Linked DNA regions of Tamandua tetradactyla. The protein of the gene in region 2 purifies or fractionates together with the protein of the main gene of each other region. This does not show direct contact. Links are inferred from orthologs where the notes say so. Each region holds a gene or a part of one and is shown on either strand. Other genes may lie near its edges.

What was found.
Region 1: the proteins of COX6B1 (region 2) and CHCHD4 purify together in Homo sapiens (co-immunoprecipitation; 3 studies listed by BioGRID and IntAct, with this or other methods). This does not show direct contact. The link is inferred for Tamandua tetradactyla from reciprocal best matches to the Homo sapiens genes COX6B1 and CHCHD4.

The regions. Positions count from the first base shown.
Region 1 is NC_135335.1:33,896,363-33,905,843, reverse strand, and holds the start of CHCHD4 (mitochondrial intermembrane space import and assembly protein 40), read left to right. Parts: upstream 1-5,738; 5' UTR 5,739-5,816; coding exon 5,817-5,847; intron 5,848-8,789; coding exon 8,790-8,888; intron 8,889-9,481. Other genes in the region: TMEM43 (transmembrane protein 43), read right to left, coding at 1,247-1,258.
Region 2 is NC_135342.1:30,361,258-30,370,083, forward strand, and holds the start of COX6B1 (cytochrome c oxidase subunit 6B1), read right to left. Parts: upstream 3,679-8,826; 5' UTR 3,544-3,678; intron 1,960-3,543; 5' UTR 1,949-1,959; coding exon 1,843-1,948; intron 725-1,842; coding exon 624-724; intron 1-623. Other genes in the region: ETV2 (ETS translocation variant 2), read right to left, coding at 6,116-6,274, 6,539-6,651, 7,020-7,499, 7,767-7,826, 8,052-8,129, 8,242-8,305. UniProt on the Homo sapiens protein: Component of the cytochrome c oxidase, the last enzyme in the mitochondrial electron transport chain which drives oxidative phosphorylation.

The DNA.
Region 1 (9,481 bases), on a different chromosome or scaffold from region 2:
GGAAGGAATTTTTTTTCATGTATTAAGTACCTTATAAGAGAAATCATCAACTGGTCCCATTTTACAGATAAGGAAACATAAACTCAGAGAGATTAAGGCCACACGGTTGTTAAGCAAAAGAATCTGGATTTGCTTCCAAGGCTGCCTGACTCCAAAGCCTGCCTTTTTCAGCACCTCCCCATGACACAGCCTAGGAAGCTGGTGTGAGAGCCTGGGGAAGTGCCCTCTTCTTCTGCTGGGGAGGGTCTCTATATGTCAAATGTTGTAGCTGTGAGGGTCAGATGGGAATGTCCCTGCTGGGGGTAGGCTGGCCTCCTGACTGTTCCCGATAACCGTCCTCCCCCACAACTCTCAAGGGAGGGAGAATGAGCTAAGGCTGCGAATTACACAAACCTGGCCTCTCATGGGGTGAGAGAGGCAGAGAGGACGTTTGGGGACAGAGGAGGTGTCTGTAAAGAGCGTGTAATAGGCTAGTGGACAGAATTCAGGAGACTCCTCTGAAGGAGGAGGGAGGGTGTGTCTGGGCCTGGCAGGATGCCCAGGCTGGCTCCAGAAGCACTTTCACCGAGGAGGGGAGTGATGAGTCACCAGCTTCCCCCACACCCAGCACCCTCGCAGGTGGTGTGCCACTCAGTTTGTTGAATGAATGTTGCCGAGAGAGGCTGGCTGCAGGGAGAAGAGGAAGCTAACTCGGGTCATTGCTAAATGACCAACCTTCAGCCAGAACCTCTGAAACCAAATCCAAATTAGGAGAAGGAGGAGCCCGGCAGTAGGCAAACGCTCCCCTTGGCCGGAATCCCAACTTCCCTGCCCTCATCTCGGTTGGTGTCCTTCTGCAGCATTAACAGCCTACAGCCTTGGACAGCTCCCCCTGGCCCGGGGTCGGCCTCTCCACCACCTCGGCGCACGGGACCTCTCTCTGGGGTTGCACTCAGCTCCCGCATTCCGCCAAGTTCGAGAACCCAAAGGGGCCACGCGGGAACTGGGAATGAAAGGAGGGGACGCAGGGAGGCGCCACGCACAAGGAGATCCCACTCCGGGAGCGACACATCCCGCGTCTCCCTCCCGAGGATGAGCGGACAAATGGGGCCTGGACAGGCGAAGAAACACAGACGAGCAAAGGGAGACAGGCAGGGGGCCGACCGCACGGACAAGGGTCAGACAGAAAAGCCCGGCCGAGACGCGGATAGGAGGCCCGGGTGATGGGGAGGTCTGGGTGTGGCCCGCCGGACCAGGAGACACTCACATTCGCGGCCATGGTAGGACCCGGCTTGCTGCCGCCGCCTCGATCTGCTCAACTAGATGATTGGTGGGCGACGGGAGCGTGGAGTCCGGTAGCCTGCTAGCCCGGAGTTGCGAAGGACCGCACGGTGCCAAAACAAGTCGATTCTTGCTACAGTTACCGCCCCGTGGCTCCATTCTGTCTGGGCATGCGCTCCGCAAGGCCTCCTGGAAAACGTAGTGCGAGCGGGGCTCAGAGTCGTGGGCGCTCGGCACAAAATTGCAGTACGCCCTTATCTCACTGGTGCGCCTGCGCGTTGCAAAGCTTTCTGGGAACCGTAGTTCTTACCGCTTGGCGAGCTACAGGGCGTTGGGTGGCCTGCTGGGAAGTGTAGTTTCCGGCTGAGGGGTCGGGCCGCGTCTGGGAGTGCGCGGAACAGGCGCGCCGCGGGCAGGCTTAGAGGGGGCGGGTCCGCGCGGGCTTTGGATCTGCGCGCTCAGCTTGAGGAGAGGTCACGGCGTGAAGTAGCCGCCACCGCCGCCACCGCCGCCGCCGCCGCTGCTGTTGCTGCGAGGTCTGAGCGCCGGGTAGAAGCGATGTCCTACTGCCGTCAGGAAGGTAGGGAGAGCAGGCGGGCAGGCTGCTATGGAGACCGGCCTACGAGGGCCCGCAGGGGACATGCCACTCAGGTCGCCCTCTTAGACCCCGGCGTCCGGCGATCCCACTACCAGCGTGGCCAACGCGAGGTGCAGCCAGGGGAGGGGTACCTTCTTCGCGTCCTGGAGCAGGTCAGCGGTGGGGTCGTCACCCTTACGTGCAGATGAGAAAGCCGAGGCTCTGGGAAGAACAGGGCTGGTCCAAGGTCATGGTAAGGTTCGAACCCCGGCCTTAGAGGGAGCCGCACTTGGGAGACTAGTAAACTAGGCCCGGAGGGTGTATGGGAAGTGCTGAGCACGTTGCCTGGCCCGTAATTGGAAGTTTATTGTTATTATTACTCACGTTCTCACTACGTACCACGTGTTTCCCATATTGCAAGCTTCTTGTAATTGTCCGTGAAATCTTTCCGCTCAGGTCGCGTGCTGTGTTATTGTAGCGTTAGTCCCACTAGTGGGAACATTTATTGAACTCCCACTGCTTATCAGGCATTGTTCAAGGAGCTTTACATGATTTATCTCATTGACCTCGCAGTGACCTGTCAGATTGTGTGACCCCATTTTACCGACTATATAGTAAACTAAAGGCACAGAGGGATTAAGTGATTTGGCCAAGGTCACGCAGCCAGAAAGTAGTGAGCTGGATTTTGAGTTCTGGCGATCTGATTCCAGAACTGGATTATCCAATCCGCAACCTTGTGGATTCCAGGAAGCCCGCTGCTGGGAAGATCTGTTCCCCCCACATGCCACAACATTGAACTCCACCCACACCCCTTTCTGCTCACTGTTGTTCCCTCTGCACAAGAGCTCAGAAGGCTGGGGGGCACCCAGGGGCCCACACACACACAGACACTAATTCCCTCCTAGTCCTAGAGCTGTCACTTAACCCAGTTTCCAGCCTTGTTAAATGAGAAGGTGGACTTCATTCATTCAACAGATGGTCATGAAAGGCCTTCTCTTTGCCAAGGAATGGTGGATACTTGAGAGTTTAAGACGCCATAGAAAGTTGGAACTCATCCAGAGATTTTTTGGCCCCCTCAGTTTCATTAAGGGAATGTGAAGCCCAAAGAAAAGGGGTTAGATCATGTAGCTAGTTAGGGACAGAGCTTCATCTAGAACTCCAGGCCTTTACTCCAGTACCCCCCTGCTTCTAGAATCCCTCTGAGTACTAGTTCCATTAATTAATAATTAATAACTGCTATAAAGAGAAATCCTTTGTTCATATGTTAGGTCTGTTGTCTTACTTTTAATTCCCATTCTCTGAGTTGCTAATTCACTTCTTCATTTAAAAAATAATAAAAATAATTTTCGAGCCTGTTAGGTGCAGTGAAGCTGTGCAGGTAAATAACACCTCTCCTTGTTCTTGAGGCGTTTACAGGGGTCACAGTTTCTCTGGGAAGGAGGGGCAGTGTCCTTCTGCCACCAAAGCATGGAGCTCTGTCATTTCCTGGTTCAAGGGTTTCTTCTCTTTCTTAGTTTGAGGATGAGAATTGGAAGCACTCACTTTCAAGCCTTCTTTAGTTTTTATCTTATCCATACTACCAGCCCCTAAAAAGCCCCCAGTTTTTTGTTTGTTTTTTTCTGCCTACTCATCTTTATGCTTTCTCTGGGACTTAGAAATATGATCCCAAACTCTTTACCCTATAAGTGCTTATGTGATCTTATCCCTCCCTTCACCTCCAGCCTCATCTTCCACTCCCTCCTTTCCCTGCTCTGCTCCCTCTAAGCTGGCTTCCTGGCTTGGCCCTTCCTCTGCCTGGAGCATCCTTCCCCCTGCTCTTCCATGCCTGGTTCCTCATTCTTTAAGGTTCATATCACATATCACCTCAGAAAGGCCTTTGTGTCTTCCATGAACTAAGTTCTCTGAAATACCTTGCTCATTTTTTGTCATTTTATTTCTTGCCTATCTTCTTCGACTGAGCTGAGAAAATTAGCTGGGCTGTATCCCAAGCATCTAACACGGTGCCTGGTAGACAGTAGGCACACAAATCTTGACTGAGTGAATTCATGCAAGTCTCTGTTCACCTTGATCTAATTTACTTTTGGAGTAATTACCCAGCCTTCAGGTAAAAGGCCTTAGCTTGGCATTCAAGGTGTTCTCCAGAGAGACTTAGCCTCCTTCTCAGGCCTTGGGCCACCCTCACTGCTCTTTGTCAGCCCCATCGTGTTCCTTTCTTGGTTTTCCTCATTTTCTAGTGTGGTTTCTCTTGTATTTGGTTAACAAACGTTTATTGAGTACCTACTATGGGCCATCCAGTGGCACATAATAGTTAGCAAAGGTAGCACAGTCTCTGTCCTCATGGCCTCCAGTGGAAGAGATGGACATTAAAACATCAACAGGTGAATGTGTAATTACAAACTGTGAAGAAAAAGTCCAGCATGCCATAATTTACAGAAAGGCTCTGCAGGGTCAAGGAAGGCTTCTAATCAGCTACAAATGCTATTCAATTTCATTCAATTCTTACTCTTCACTACCCACACACCACAGGTTAAAGACGGCCCCAGGCCAGTTACACTACTGGCTACAAATTTGCGGGTTTCTACCATCCTCTTGGGTTCAATAATGTGCTAGAATAATTCACAGAACTCACTGAAAGTGCTATACTTACTATTGTAGTTTTATTATTGTAAAAGAATACAGAGTAGAAGAATCCAAAAGAAGAGAAACATAGGGCAAGGTCTGAAAGGGTCTCAAATATAAGTTTCTGTGCCTTCCACTTGGAATCAAAACAGATCACCCTCCCAGCATAGCAGTGTATATTAAAATCCTGGACGCTCACTTGAGCTTCTGTTACCCTGAATTTATATGAGGTTTCATTATGCAGATATGAGAGCAAGCCTTTGGAAATTCCAAAGACTTAAGATGGTTACCTCCTAGGAGTCTGGACAAAGGTCAGACTTTTTTCTGGAGGCCAGCTACACAGCAGCTTAGGCTTCATGGTCAGAAATAGAGCGTGGAAGAGGGTGGTCTGGCTGACTCTGCCTGGCAAAGAAAGCAGGTGATTCTGAGCTAATTCTAGAGTTGGCCTTATGGAGGAACCCAACCTAAGAGTTTGATGTCCAAGGACAAAGGACTCCTACAGTTACCCTACACAGGGAGAGCAGAAAGGGATGGGGCTGAAGAGTGGATTAAGATGTATGTGAGGTTTTTCAATAGCCATACTATCAGAGCTGGTGAGTGCGCCTTCTCGAGGTTGAGCTCCAGATGCCTTTTTAGCCCAGGATGACTGTCCTATAATCATTCTAGCACGAAGGAATTGCTGCTACTTGGATTTGAGAACTATATTGGGCTCCAAAGGATAGGAATTCTTGTGGACCCCTCAGCCTTCTTTTATTTTTCTTCTATCGGTATGTTCTGTAAATGTCCAAGAAACCTACGCTTTGGTATAAACATTTGCTTGTAGTCTTAACTAACTCTAAAATGTAACAGATTTATGGATTGAATTCTAATAATATTCATTTTAACAGCATTAATTTATTCTGGTAGACGGTGTTTGAAATTTTTATTGTCTTCTTACAGAGTACTTGCTTCTCTGCCAGCATAGGACCTTTTCTGTTAACTGGGCCTATGCTGTTGTTATGTGAGGCCCACAGCTCTCCATGGGGGCTCTGCATGACTGGGACCCCTCTGCTCACCCTGCAGAGCCGTGATAGGGAGTCATCTGGCCGTCACTGGCTTCGAGGCACTAGTTCTGTGTTAAGGCCACCTCACTTTTCTCCCATGATCATTTAAGTCTGTTTGGAAGTCTAAAAGGGTATGACATGGTTATCTACATTCCTTCTGAATATGCTATGTCAGCATTGTGATTTTTTTTTAAGATTATCTTGGAAATAAAAACACAAGCATTTTTATTCATCCATAGAGAGTCCCTGAGAAATTTTGCGAGAAATACTCGGCTAGCTGATTACTTGAAGCCTTCTAACTCTACTAGTTGTCTGTCATGACTGTTTCCACAGTTTGGTATATTAAAGGTAAACAAGTTTGCATTTGCATCAGTGTCATTTTTTTTTTTTTCTGTGTGCTATGCGGTGGGGGTCACATTTCCATGTGAATATCCTATTATTGCACCATTATTGTTATTTTTTTCCAAGTGCATGGGCTGGGAGTTGAAGCTGGTCTCCTGCATGGCAGGTGAGAATTCTACCACTGAACACCTGTACATCCCAGTGTCACCTATCTTTAAATGCCCCAGGAAGCAGAGGTCTGGGTCCATACAGTCTATTGTGGTGGGACAGGTGTGCAGTGGGCAGTGTGTAAGGTGAGGTGAGTCCAGAGCATGCCAGGGTTCTTGTTCCTGCTCACCCTTCACTTGTCCATGGGTCTTTGGGTCAGTTCCTTACCACCTCTGAGCCTCCATTTCTTCAATCTCTGTTAAAAGATAAAAGCAAATCCCCACTTCATAGGATTGGTGTGAGGATTAAATGAGCCAGTGTAGGCAAAGTGCATTGCATAGGGTCTTTAGTTTTAAAAAGTTGTTATTCTGCTCACCTCCCTCTCCAGTGTGAACTGTGCTCTCAGGCGAGTGTCCAGAAGGAAACTGTGAGGACCTTGCTGTGTTGGAAAGATCTGAAACTTGGGGGGCCTGTGCCAGACTTTGTTGTATGTTGATCACCTCTGAAGCCTGGGAGCAATCTGGGCATGCCGGAGAGCTTGATTCTGCTTTTTCTGGGCCTTACCATCTGACCGGGGTGAGATCTTGGTAAACAAAACTATCAAAAGCTGAGAATTTGGTGTCAGCTTATTCTGCTTGGCTGTCAGCGTTTTTACTGACTGCTTTCAAGTGTTTTGTAGACTGTCCAGAATTGCCAGGGTCATCAGGTAGGTATGTTAACATGACTGACTGCCTGGCCCAAATCCTTTCCTAGGGCCATGGGGAAAAAGCATTCTAGTCTGGAATAACATGTGAGGTGTTGAGACGGAGACCAGAGCTGAGCACAGAAACCTCAGGTCAGGGTGGATGGGTTTTCCTATCACCTATTCTAAGAGCTCCTGCTTACTATTGTTAAAAGAAAAACTTTTCATGCAATTTAAGATCTCACAGCTGTATTGAGCAATTCCTCAATTGGGCAGCATCCCATTCAGAAAGCAGGGAGCTTCATTCAGGGAGTGGAAAGGGGAAGTATCTGATAAGCTATCTCTTCTGGACAGGTTTATCACCAGATATTACTTATCTGCAGTTTTCTGGGATCCATCCTTTGTTCCATTTTCTCAGAAAGTCCCTGTAGGTCAGTTGTTTTTGTCTTCTGAGAGATGAAATCCTTTCTCAGAAAGGGATCCCTTCTAGCTGTGCCCAATGCAGGCGACCTTTTTACTTTGCTTAAACTATCACCCATATGGAAGTCCCTGTGCAGGTATGGAAAGGGTAAAGCACAAAGGGGGCCTTCCCCCTGTCCCTTGAACTGCACTCACTGGAAGAGTCACTCTGATTTTTATTGCCACCCTTGTGCCCTCCTCCAGCCTCTTAAATATTCCAGTCCCAAGCATGGGCTCCAACCTTTTACCTTGGTTTTCCTTAGCATACCTGTGGCAGAACTTTCTTGAAGGAAAACAAAACAGCAATAATCACAGAAAATGCTAGCAGCTTCCAGAGAGCTGCATTTCTGTAGACCTGCTCTCTGCCTCCATGGTAGCTGACCCTCTCAGTGACCAGGGCACTGCCTCTAGCTCCTCTGTCCAGGGGCTCTTTTGGAGGTATCTGAAGAAGTCTTCCTAAACACTAGGGATCACCCATCCCGTAGTAGATAAGGGGCCTATGATCCCAGATCATCTGGGGTCAGAATGGAGAGCCATTAGGGCCATGAAATTTATCCTTGCCCTCTATCAGGTAGGTACCCAGAAAGATCTATTTATTCACTTAATTCTAAGTTTGTGACGGATTGGATCAATATTTATTGTAGGAAGCATTTATTAATGCCAAGGCACACAAAGCTCTCAGGCTGATAAGTATTTCTGGGTGTGGAAAGGATCTCCACACTGTGGATGTGAGAGACAGAGCTGGGTCCACATTCCAGCTGTGCCACTTGCTATGTGAGCTTGAGCAATTCAATTCCAGAGCCTTAGGCTCGCTCTTGTAACATGGGGGTACCACTAGCTGTCACCTTCCCAGGGGTGTGAGAGAGTTGGTGGGATGCAGAGATGGACTGACCCCGTCCCTGCCTTCTGGGGACAGTAGGGGAAGCCACTGAGCATGCAGTGCTCTGAGTACTAAGGTAATAGGCAAGGTGCTTATCTTACAAAATGGGGATATCTTACAAAAACCACCATGTGGGAAGCTGATGCCCAAAGTTTTTAGGAAGGTATGAGGTTACGTGGCATACCCACATGTAGTAGTTAGATTCAGTTGTCAACTTGGCCAGGTGACAGTGCCTAGATCTATTGTTGTGGACATGAGCCAATGACGTATGAACCTCATCTGTTGCTGATTACATCTGCAGTCGGCTAGGAGGCATGCCTGCTGCAATGAATGATGTTTGATTTAATTGGCTGGTGCTTAAATGAGAGCGCTCACTGTAGCACAGCCCAAGCAGCTCAGCATACCTCATCTCAGCACTCGCAGCTCAGCCCAGGCCTTTGGAGGTGCAGAAAGAAATCACCCTGGGGAAAGTTGTTGGAACCCAGAGGCCTGGAGAGAAGGCCAGCAGAGATCACCCTGTGCCTTCCCACATGAGAAAGAACCTCAGTTGCAAGTTAGCTGCCTCTCCTCTGAAGAACTAACAAAATAAATCCCCTTTTATTAAAAGCCAGTCCGTCTGTGGTGTGTTGCCTTCTGGCAGCTAGCAAACTAGAACAGCATGAGTCACTCTAGGGTTTCACATGGGACTTTCTTCCAACTTAGTTATGTGGCTGCTTTGGATTTAAGGGTACTTCAACTACTTTTAAATAAACATGTCTTCCTCTGTCCTCCAAACACCAGGGAAGGATCGAATCATATTTGTGACCAGAGAAGACCATGAAACTCCCAGCAGTGCAGAGCTGGTGGCTGATGACCCTAATGATCCATACGAGGAGCATGGTGAGTGGTGGATGTCCTGGGAACACAGCATGAACTGGGTGGGAATTTGGTGATCATAATTCCTTTCCCATTTTGTCCTTGCCAAGGCTACATTTCAAGGTATCCATTGTAGAGTTAGGGAGCAGTCCACAGGACCACCTTAGATTCTGATAATTTGCTAGAAGGACTAATAAAACTCACTGAAAGCTGTTATACTTATGGTTTTGTTTTATTATAGTGAAAGGAGACAGATTAAAATCAGCCGAGGGAAGAGGTACATTGGGGCAGAGCCCAGGAGAGTTCCAAATGTGGAGCTGCCAGTGGTCCTCTCCCTGTAGAGTCCTGGACAGCGTTAACTCCTCCCAGCAGTGATGTGTGACAAGAGGACATGCATGAGTATTGCCACCAGGGAGGTCTGTCCAGGTCTTGGTCCAGAGTCTTTATTGGGATTCAGTCATACAGACATTTCTGGCTGATCTTGGTTTCCAGCCCTTCTGGGGATTTAGCTAATATAGCATGATCCAAAGCCCCCCACCATAAATCAAATTGTTAGACATCCAAGAGTTTAGAGATTACTTACGAGGGGACCAGGGCAAAGGCCAGACCTCCCTTTG
Region 2 (8,826 bases):
AAAACAGGGTAACGTTAAACAAATTTTCTTTATTTAAAAAAAAATAAAAGGCATGGCAAAGAGCACTAAGTGCTGACAGGACAGATCAGGACAAAAAGGACTGCAAAATGGTGGTATTCTAAAGAGATCCATACTAAAGGAGGAGAGGGTGAAATTACATGTCTGAGATTTGCTTTAGAATACTTCACCAGAAGAAAAGTTGGGGGGGGGGGTAACTGACAGATGAGGCAAATGCAGAAAATCATTGTAACTATTCAGTTCGAATGATGGCCATATTTGGGATCAATGAACTACTCTAATTTTACATATATTTGAAAATACTTATAAAAAAGACAAGAGAAGCTCACAGGTACAGAGGCCTGATACTGAGTATGAATTTGAAAAGTGAGAAAGATGGTTCCAGCAAGGAGACAGCTCTGGTGGTCATGGCTGAGAGCCCTCCCTGGCTAAGAGGTGTCAGAGAAGGGAGGCAATTCCGGGAAGGGGAAACAGCAAAAGCCCTGTAGACAATGTTATACCTTGTCTTCCCTTGTCCCTTAGAGATGAGCTCCCGCCAAGTCACCACACTCTCCTCTGCTCGGACCTGCCCCTGCATCCCAAGAGTCCCAACAGGAAGCACCTACCCAGGATATGGGGCAGAGGGACTTATACACACGCCGGTACCATTCACACACGGAGACGTCACCCCCTTTATCAGTCATTGCCTTCTCGCAGCGGTGGAAGTCTGTAAAGAAAGGGGTTCAGGGTCATTTCTGAACACACTTCTGACCAAAACTCACAGCGGGAAATATTTTATACCTCATGATCAGTCTCACACACACACACATATTGAAAATAGAAGTTTCACAAAGAAACAAATCCATTAAAAAGGGCTGAGCACAACTCACTAAACTGATTTTGTAATCCACTAGAGAACTGTTGCCTGACTTGTAAACACTGGGATCAGGAATGATGGGGAAGCATTAGCACACAGATTATGGAGCCCAAAACCAGGGCAAGGGAAGGGGAAAATGATCTTGACGATAAGGTGCTGGGAGTTCCAGAGAGGAAGGCGGGAAAGGAATAATCTGTTTTTTTTTAAAATAGGTAATTCATTAAAATAAAAACAAACAAAAATAAATTAAAAACAAACAAACAAAAAGGCAATTCACTCCTGGGCACATTTCCTAGACAGGAATGCATGCACACAGCATTGGATTACATTTCTATGAATGTTTATAGCAGCCCTATTCATCAAAGCCCCAAACTGAAAGCCACACAAGTGTACATGGAAAGAACTGTGGAATACTGTATACCACAGCATATAAGATTCCTGAACTGAATGAAGAAAGCCAAAAAGAACACAGAGTACTATAAAGTTCACAAAGGGGCAAACTTAAAACAAGGAGGTAAAACCAAAAATGTGATATAATATTGAATATTGGTTACACTTCTAGTAGGGGGAGGGAGTTGTGCTCAAGATGGAGCATGTAGTGGTTGGGGAGTTTAGAGTACTAGCAACATTCTATTTTTCTATCCAGGTTATGGCCGTACAGGGGTTCACTTTAGAATTATTGTTTTAGCTTACATTATGTTTTACATATGTTTCATTACACACACACAAACACACACACACATACACTTAAAAATCATTGTAAGAACCAAAGTTTGTGACTGGTTCAGATGCTGAGGTGATTGTTAATGAGGGCATGGGCCCTCCAGGGTTATGATGTTCAGAATAAAAGTAGCGTCCAGGACCAGTGTTAAGGTGCATGGGTCCTCTAGGAGTAGGTAAGAGGTGAGGGACTTGAGGATTGGGACTAGGGGAAGGTCTGCACTTTCCCATGACCACACCCTTCTTACCCAGGTAGTTCTGCCAGCAGTTCCTGGTCTGGTTCTGGTTGGGGAAGCGGCTGTCAAAAGGGGCAGTTCTGTAGTTCTTAATTTTGGTCTTGATGTCTTCTGCCATGATGCTGACTCCTGGAGGCAAAGTGGGTGGACGTTGGTAAGGGTTGGAGGGCTTAGACATGGGCATCTCAGCCCACCCAGGACCAAATGAGGCCCAAATCCAGAAAATTGGGCTGAGTATAAAGAAGTCATCACTCCCCTCCCCTAACACACACACTCACACACAAGTGAACTGCAGGGCCAATCCATACATCTGGTGTGGAAGTCATAACAGGTTGGGGCAAACCCTTAGCAAAATCAAGTCTCTTATCCCAAATAATACTAGCTACATTACTGAATAAATTTACAGGCCAGATGCTGTTCAACATACTTGACTCCTCTAACAGCCTCTGTATAAGGTCAGAACTATTACTATCCCCATTTCTTGACAAGGAAGGAATCAGACATCTAAGTGACTTCCCAAGGTCATGCCACACACAACTGATGGGGCTGTACTCAGTTACTGGACTACCATACACTGCAGAGGTTCTTAATCTTTTTGGTGCTATGAACTGCTCTGGGGTTTGATTAATCCTACAAACCGCATTCTCAGAATATGTTTAAATGCATTAAAAACTGCACTGGGTCAAAAAGAAAACCAGTTATATCTAGCTGTAGATTTATTAACTGCCATAGTATTGATTTAACCACAAGTAAAACTATTTTGTGATATCTGCAACAACTAATGTGATATAAGAACATCTGTGATTTCAAATGGTGACAAAAGTCACAGGTGCCAGAAGCATCACAGCAGTAATAACCATGCTTCTGAGATTGTTGCCTCCATTCCAAAGGGAAGGAAATGGTACATTTCAATTGGAGGCCAGCAAAAACAGATATAATTTTTTCCCCATTTAACCACTAGCACTCCTTGAAACCTATTAGTTCTGTGGACGTAGGGTTAAAATTTGATATTATGTCTCTAAAAAAGGGACACACAGTAGCCATGGAACCTATGAGAAATGGCCTCTGTATTCCAGAAATTCAAGGAGTCATGGACTACATAGAGGTGCATCGGCCGGTGTCCAATTCAAGCGGCCCAAGGCAGTGTTGGGGCTCTGGTAGCACTAAACAGTCCTTCCGGAGAGGGAGGACTATAAAACACCAGCCGCTGGGACAGAGTCGTCTAAAGAGCTTCGGGTGATATCTCGACCCAATATGTGGGGGTGTTGGTGGATCCGGAACGACGCTGCGGTCCCTCCAACGTGCAAGGGGGAAGCGGGATCAGCCACCAGGGAGTCAAGCTGCGGCTCAAACAAAACCCCGGGGGTCACGCCCGCGGCTTGGTGATTAAGAGCAATGCAGTCCAAATTAATGGGTCTAAACCCTAGTAGCTACGGCCTCGACTAAGAAGCTTATTATCTCTCAGCCTCAGTCAGGGTTGGGGGTAAGATTAAAGAATCAATCTAACTAAATCGCCTGGAAGGTTGCTGGGCAATAAGGAAGAACTCCACAAACGTTAGTTGTTATTATTAACAGAACAACCAAGGCCCGGGGCTGGCACACTGGGATGTAGGACGCCACCAGCTGGAACCCTCATCCCGTTCTCGGGGAAGTGGGGTTCGGTTCCCCAAGCCCCCATACTAGGGTCCCAGGTATCTGAGCCCCCACACTCACCTAGCAGCGCCTCTGAAGCTGCTCGCTGCTCAATGTGACCCTCAGCCCAAACGTCTGTCTAGGACCGGAAGCGGAATTAAGACTGGCCGGAAGTGCGGCGAAGCCGGGTACTGGGTAGTCTACAGCGCGCCTACAGCGCGTATGGGTAGCCGAGTCCCGGAAGTCACTCTGGGCCCGCCCATCCTTCGAACTCCGACATCCCATTGGGCTTTGAAATGCATGTTTAACATCACTACCGGGACAAAAGAGAGTTCGTGTGGCTCTTCAGATAACTAGGAGCAGCAGTTGGGGACGCCAAATTACAGGCTCTCTTCACCTTGACTGTATCAGGGGGAAAGATTTCTGAGTCCCGGGACTGGCTGGAGAGAAGACTGTCTCGGGGAGAATGTCCCAGAAGAGGTGCTTTTATTCATGCAAGAAATATTTATTGAGCGTTTATCCTGAGCCAGACTCTTGTGTAAGTTTTGGGGATACATTATTGTACAAAATACAAAACCCCCATCCTTATTATGATTGTTACGGGGTTGATTGTCATACCACGACAATCAACGAACTAATCGCTTGAAACGAATTAATCTCTTTCCTGGGGTCATTGACTGGATTGTCCAGACCCTACATTCCCTTCCCAAATCTAATCTCGTTCACTCTGCCTTAAAATATGTATCTAGAGTCCTCCCCTGCCAAATTTGGTTCACGCCACCGTCAACTCCATCATGGACTATTGCAGTAGTCTCTGCCTGGCCTTCTGGCTTCTCTGCTGACCTCCACATTTTGTCTAACCAGCCACAAGAACTCTGTTGACACCTGTGTCATATTACATCCCTCCTCAGTCCAGAATTTACCCCGGCTGCTGGTCTGACTCCGAGCAAAAGCTAAAGTCCTTACAAATGGCCTACACAATCTACTTGCCTCATCCCCTCGCCCCCAATATTCTCATCTACCCTTCTCACTGCACTAGCCACATTGACTTTGCAGTTTCTTAAACGTACAGGCTAGCTTCCCCCCAAGGGCCTTTGCACTTGCTGTTTCTTTGGCTTAGAATGCTGTTCCTGCAGATGGCTCCCTCCCTTATCTCCTTTGCTCAAATGTCTCTGAGAGTCTTTCTCAGATTTCCCTTCCCTACTTTATTGTTACACAGCACTTATCTCTTCGTGTATTATAGTACTTACTATAGCCTTCCTTTTTTTTAATTTTTTTTAAATGTTTACCTCTTATTTATCTCTCTCATTAGGATAGAAGCACCATAAAGGAGCTATTTTTGTCTGTCTTATTCACCATTGTGACTCCAGCACCTACAACAATGCTTGGCACATAGAATGTGCTCTATAAATTAATGAATGCATTTCTTGTATGAATGAAGGGGGAATCTGAGAGCTGGGAGAAGGAGTTGTGAAAGCACACTGCTTTTCTCCCTCCTCTCAGCGTGGCTTCTAAGCTTCCCACATACTGTCTTGGGTGCAGTGTCCAGGTCTAACTAGGTCAGGGGCCTCTCATACATTCTGTGTTTATCAATGTTGAAATTATTTGTGAACCTACCTGTTCACATGTCTGCATCCACCCACCCACCACCACCTTTCAATGAAATCTTCCTAAAGCTGAAACTACTCCTCTATTTAACTCCTCCATGGCTTTAGATCCTATGTGAGCTGGCCCATATTCCCAAGCCACATTCCCAATTCCTTGAACAGTAAGAACAGTGCTATGAGATCTTCACCTGCAGGCCTTTGTTCATGCTGTTCTCCCTGCCTGGAACACTCTTTAATTAGCTGACTTCTCAGATCAGCGGACTCCCCTATCTGGACCCCTCCCCCACATTCCAGGTCAAGTTTTTCTTTTTAGGCTCCCTCAACCCCCTGGGGTTCCCCATCCCTGCCCTGACCAATCTGGATTGCCCCTGTCTGGCAATGGTTTTATCTCCACCTTGGACTGTGAGCTCCCTGAGGGCAGGTCTCTGGGCTGCCATGACCATTGCTGTATCCCAGCACTGTCCACAGTAGGGGAACATAGTAGGCTTTCTTTCAGGACTGGATCTGAGTCCTCAGTGGTTCCCAGAATGGGGTAGTACCCAGTAGGGTCTCCTAGGTCCGAGTTCTATGTTCCCTAGTCTGGGTTGGGGAAACAGATTAGGTGGTGTGGAGGGACAAGCACCAGGTCTAATTTCTTCATGGTCCCCAGCACTGAGAGGGCACACTAAGCTCTTTTTGGAGTTCTGAGTCTTAGTCCTCTCTATGCCCTCTCTAGGGCCAACACAGTTAGTGATTGTGTCTGATTCCTTTACCTGTCCCAACACAGGGCAGGCACACAGTAGGCCCTAGAGGCACTGGATCTAATTCCCTTGTAGGTCACATCACAGTGTGGGCACACAATTGGCCCCCTAAAAGGCTGGGTCTGTTTTGCTCACCCTTGTTTCTCGATGGCCCAGCAGCGGGTGTGGTGGTGCACACGTAGGTACCCCAGCGGGGGCGGGTCTGTTCAGTGTCAGTGGGAAGAACACAGATGAGAACGCGCTACAAGGCTTGATGGGATATTTTTTATTTGGTCACAGCTCTCTGTCCGCCTTAGTGCGGTCCCGCTAGGCCAAGCCGGGCACGCAGCCTCCGAAACGGTACGTGTACTTGCGCCCACCGCTCTTTCGCACGATGTCGCGGCGGTAGTAGTAGCGCAGGCCGCGACTTAGCTTTTCATAATTCATTCCGGGTTTCCTCTTGCGCTCGCCCCAGAGACGCGCCACCTGGGACGGAGGCGGGGCTGAGTCAGAAAGGGCAGGAAAGGGGGCGGGACCTAGTGATTGGGTAGGAGGAGCGGGGCCAGGATACAGAAAACACCCCTGACAAGGATGGGGTCGAAGCTCCCGATGAGGCTGGCAGAGGGTTGGACGGGACCTAGCCCAGGAGACGCTGGGTGCGGGGCCAAGACTAGGTAGGGTGAATGGAACTGCAGGATTGAGCAAGACGAGGGTAGAGCCGGACCGACCAGGGCTGGAGAGCGACCGCACCTCTTTGGGGTCGCAAAGCTGGAATTCGCGACTGTTCCCCGTCCAGCGGATGCAGCTGCTGCGCGACCCATCGCGGAGCAGCTCTAGGAGAAACTGCCACAGCTGAATGGGACCTGAGGGATGGGAGGCGGGTGAGAGGTTTTCTGGCCCCAGTCCACGCCACTTGGGTGACCCAGGAGTCCCCTCTTTGATGGGGACTCCAAGAGTGCCTCGAGGACCCAGGCTTCGGGGCCCTCTTTTCTTTCACAAAATCCAGTAGCCTGTGTGCCATCCCCTCGCTCTCTAGAAGCCTACCAGTGTCTGACAGCCTTCTCCTCCCTCAGGACCCAGACCTGAAAACCACCATCCCCTCTTCTCTCCTGCACTGAGGTACTTCAGCCCCGCCCCCCTCGCTACCAGTTTTCCCGGTCCCGCCCCCTACGCCCCAAAGTTAGGTTATCTCTAGACTCCCTGCAGGACACAGTCTTCGCGGTCCTCTCACCTCGGTGGTTAGTTTTGGGGTAACAAGTTAATGTGGGACGGTCCGACTGCTGGCTTTGCTCGGAGGAAATGCAGTCTGAACTCTGGTGCCTCTGGGAAGAGGCCATGCAAGCCGTCTGCGGTCCCAGGTCCCAGGAAGTGGTACAGTCCGAGCCCTCAGGCCCGTCGCACGAAATGGTATAGTCCACGCGCGACTCCCTACCGAGGCCCTCATCCCAGTAGGTGGCGGCATCGGGGCCGACAGAACATCGGGGCCAGCTGGGGATGCTCCCGGCCGTGTGGGCGTGAGACCAAGACGCTGCCCCTGCCGCCAAGGTGCTCCTGTCTAGGCCCGCCGGCCCTTCAGAGCCCGCGAAGTGGGAGGTGACGGGGTCCGGAGGGGCGATGCCCAGGATCTGGGAGACGGGGCTCCGAGGGTCAGCGCCGAGACGCGCCAGGTCGGTCCTGTCTCCTGACCAGGCAAGAGCCGGCAGGGTGGGCTCTGTGTGGAGGAACACACCCCAAGTGAGGGGACTTTAGATGTCCAGGCCCCGGATCCCTTGGGGCTTCTTGGATTCTAAGCTCCAAGCCTCGGTCCCCGCTCCCGATTCCTTGGGGTGGTGGAGGCCGTTACCCTGATTCAGGCTGTGCTACTTTGAGGACACAGGCATCCATAGTCCCAGCCCTGTTCCCCCTTAAAGATCGGGGAAGTTAAGCTTGCAGGCCCAGTGCTTCAGGACCGCCATCCCCCACCTCTCCAAACACTCACCAGTTGCCCATGTAGTGTCTGTTTGTGGTAACGCGGAGCCCCAGTCCAACTGTGGGAACCCTGTCAGGGATAAGATGGTGGGGAAGGTGTGAGCAATGACTAGGGACTAACCGCCCCCCACCCAGGAATTAGTGCTCCAGGACCCACTTACTCAGAACTAGGACTCTGAGACCCCTCCACCTTCAACCTCAGGAGTCCAAGCATGCAGCCTCTTTCCCACTCAGACCCAGGAGCCCAGCTTCCCCCCTTTCTTCCCAGTACTCAGGGGGCCCAGCCTGAAGCTACCTTTCCAGCATGTCTCCACTGTCAGCCTGTCCCCTTGGAGTGCCAGTTCAGGGAAATAGAAGCCAAGTTCAGCTCCTGCTGCAGGCAATGAGGAAGTTAGGTTTAGGTCAGGTGTCAACAGACCCCACCACAGGACCCCATCTAGGCACCCTTTCCACACACTGTCTCAGCCCCAGCAACTTATGCAGACCTGAGATCCTGTTCCCTGGAGGCAGTTCCTGTGGTGATGCTTCATCCCAGTTCCACAAATCCATGGATGCTTGTTTGGAATGTTCTGGGCCAAGAAAGGTGAAAGAGCAAAAGGTGAGCTGGTGGCACTTAGAGACTCCAGATGGGACCCAGCTCTTGCTTTCTTTAGACCCAGGAGTCCAGGCCTCTGCTCTTTCCCCCCCTGAGACCCTGGAATCTTGGTCTCCAGTCCCCTTTTTCCCTGGACCAGAAGGCAGGGACCTCCGTCTTCCTCAGGCCCAGGAGTCTCAGCCCCCAATCTCTTGGGAATCTACGCCTTCAGCCCTCTCCTCCCCCAAGGACCCAAGCATCCAGATCCCAACTTTGTGCTCACCTCTGGCGGGTCCCTCTGTCCCCAGCCGGGGGTCTCAGCCCCATTTCATACCATGACCCCCCTCCCCCAGGGACTGGGGCAGGGGGGAATTTTCCGAGACGTCAGAGCTGGGGGTCGCAGCCAGGGTCGAGTTGCAGGGGCGGGGGCGGGGCCGAGCCGCAGGTGCCCCGCCTTAGGGCTTGGTGCCCGCCCCTGGGTTGCTGGGGCTGTCCT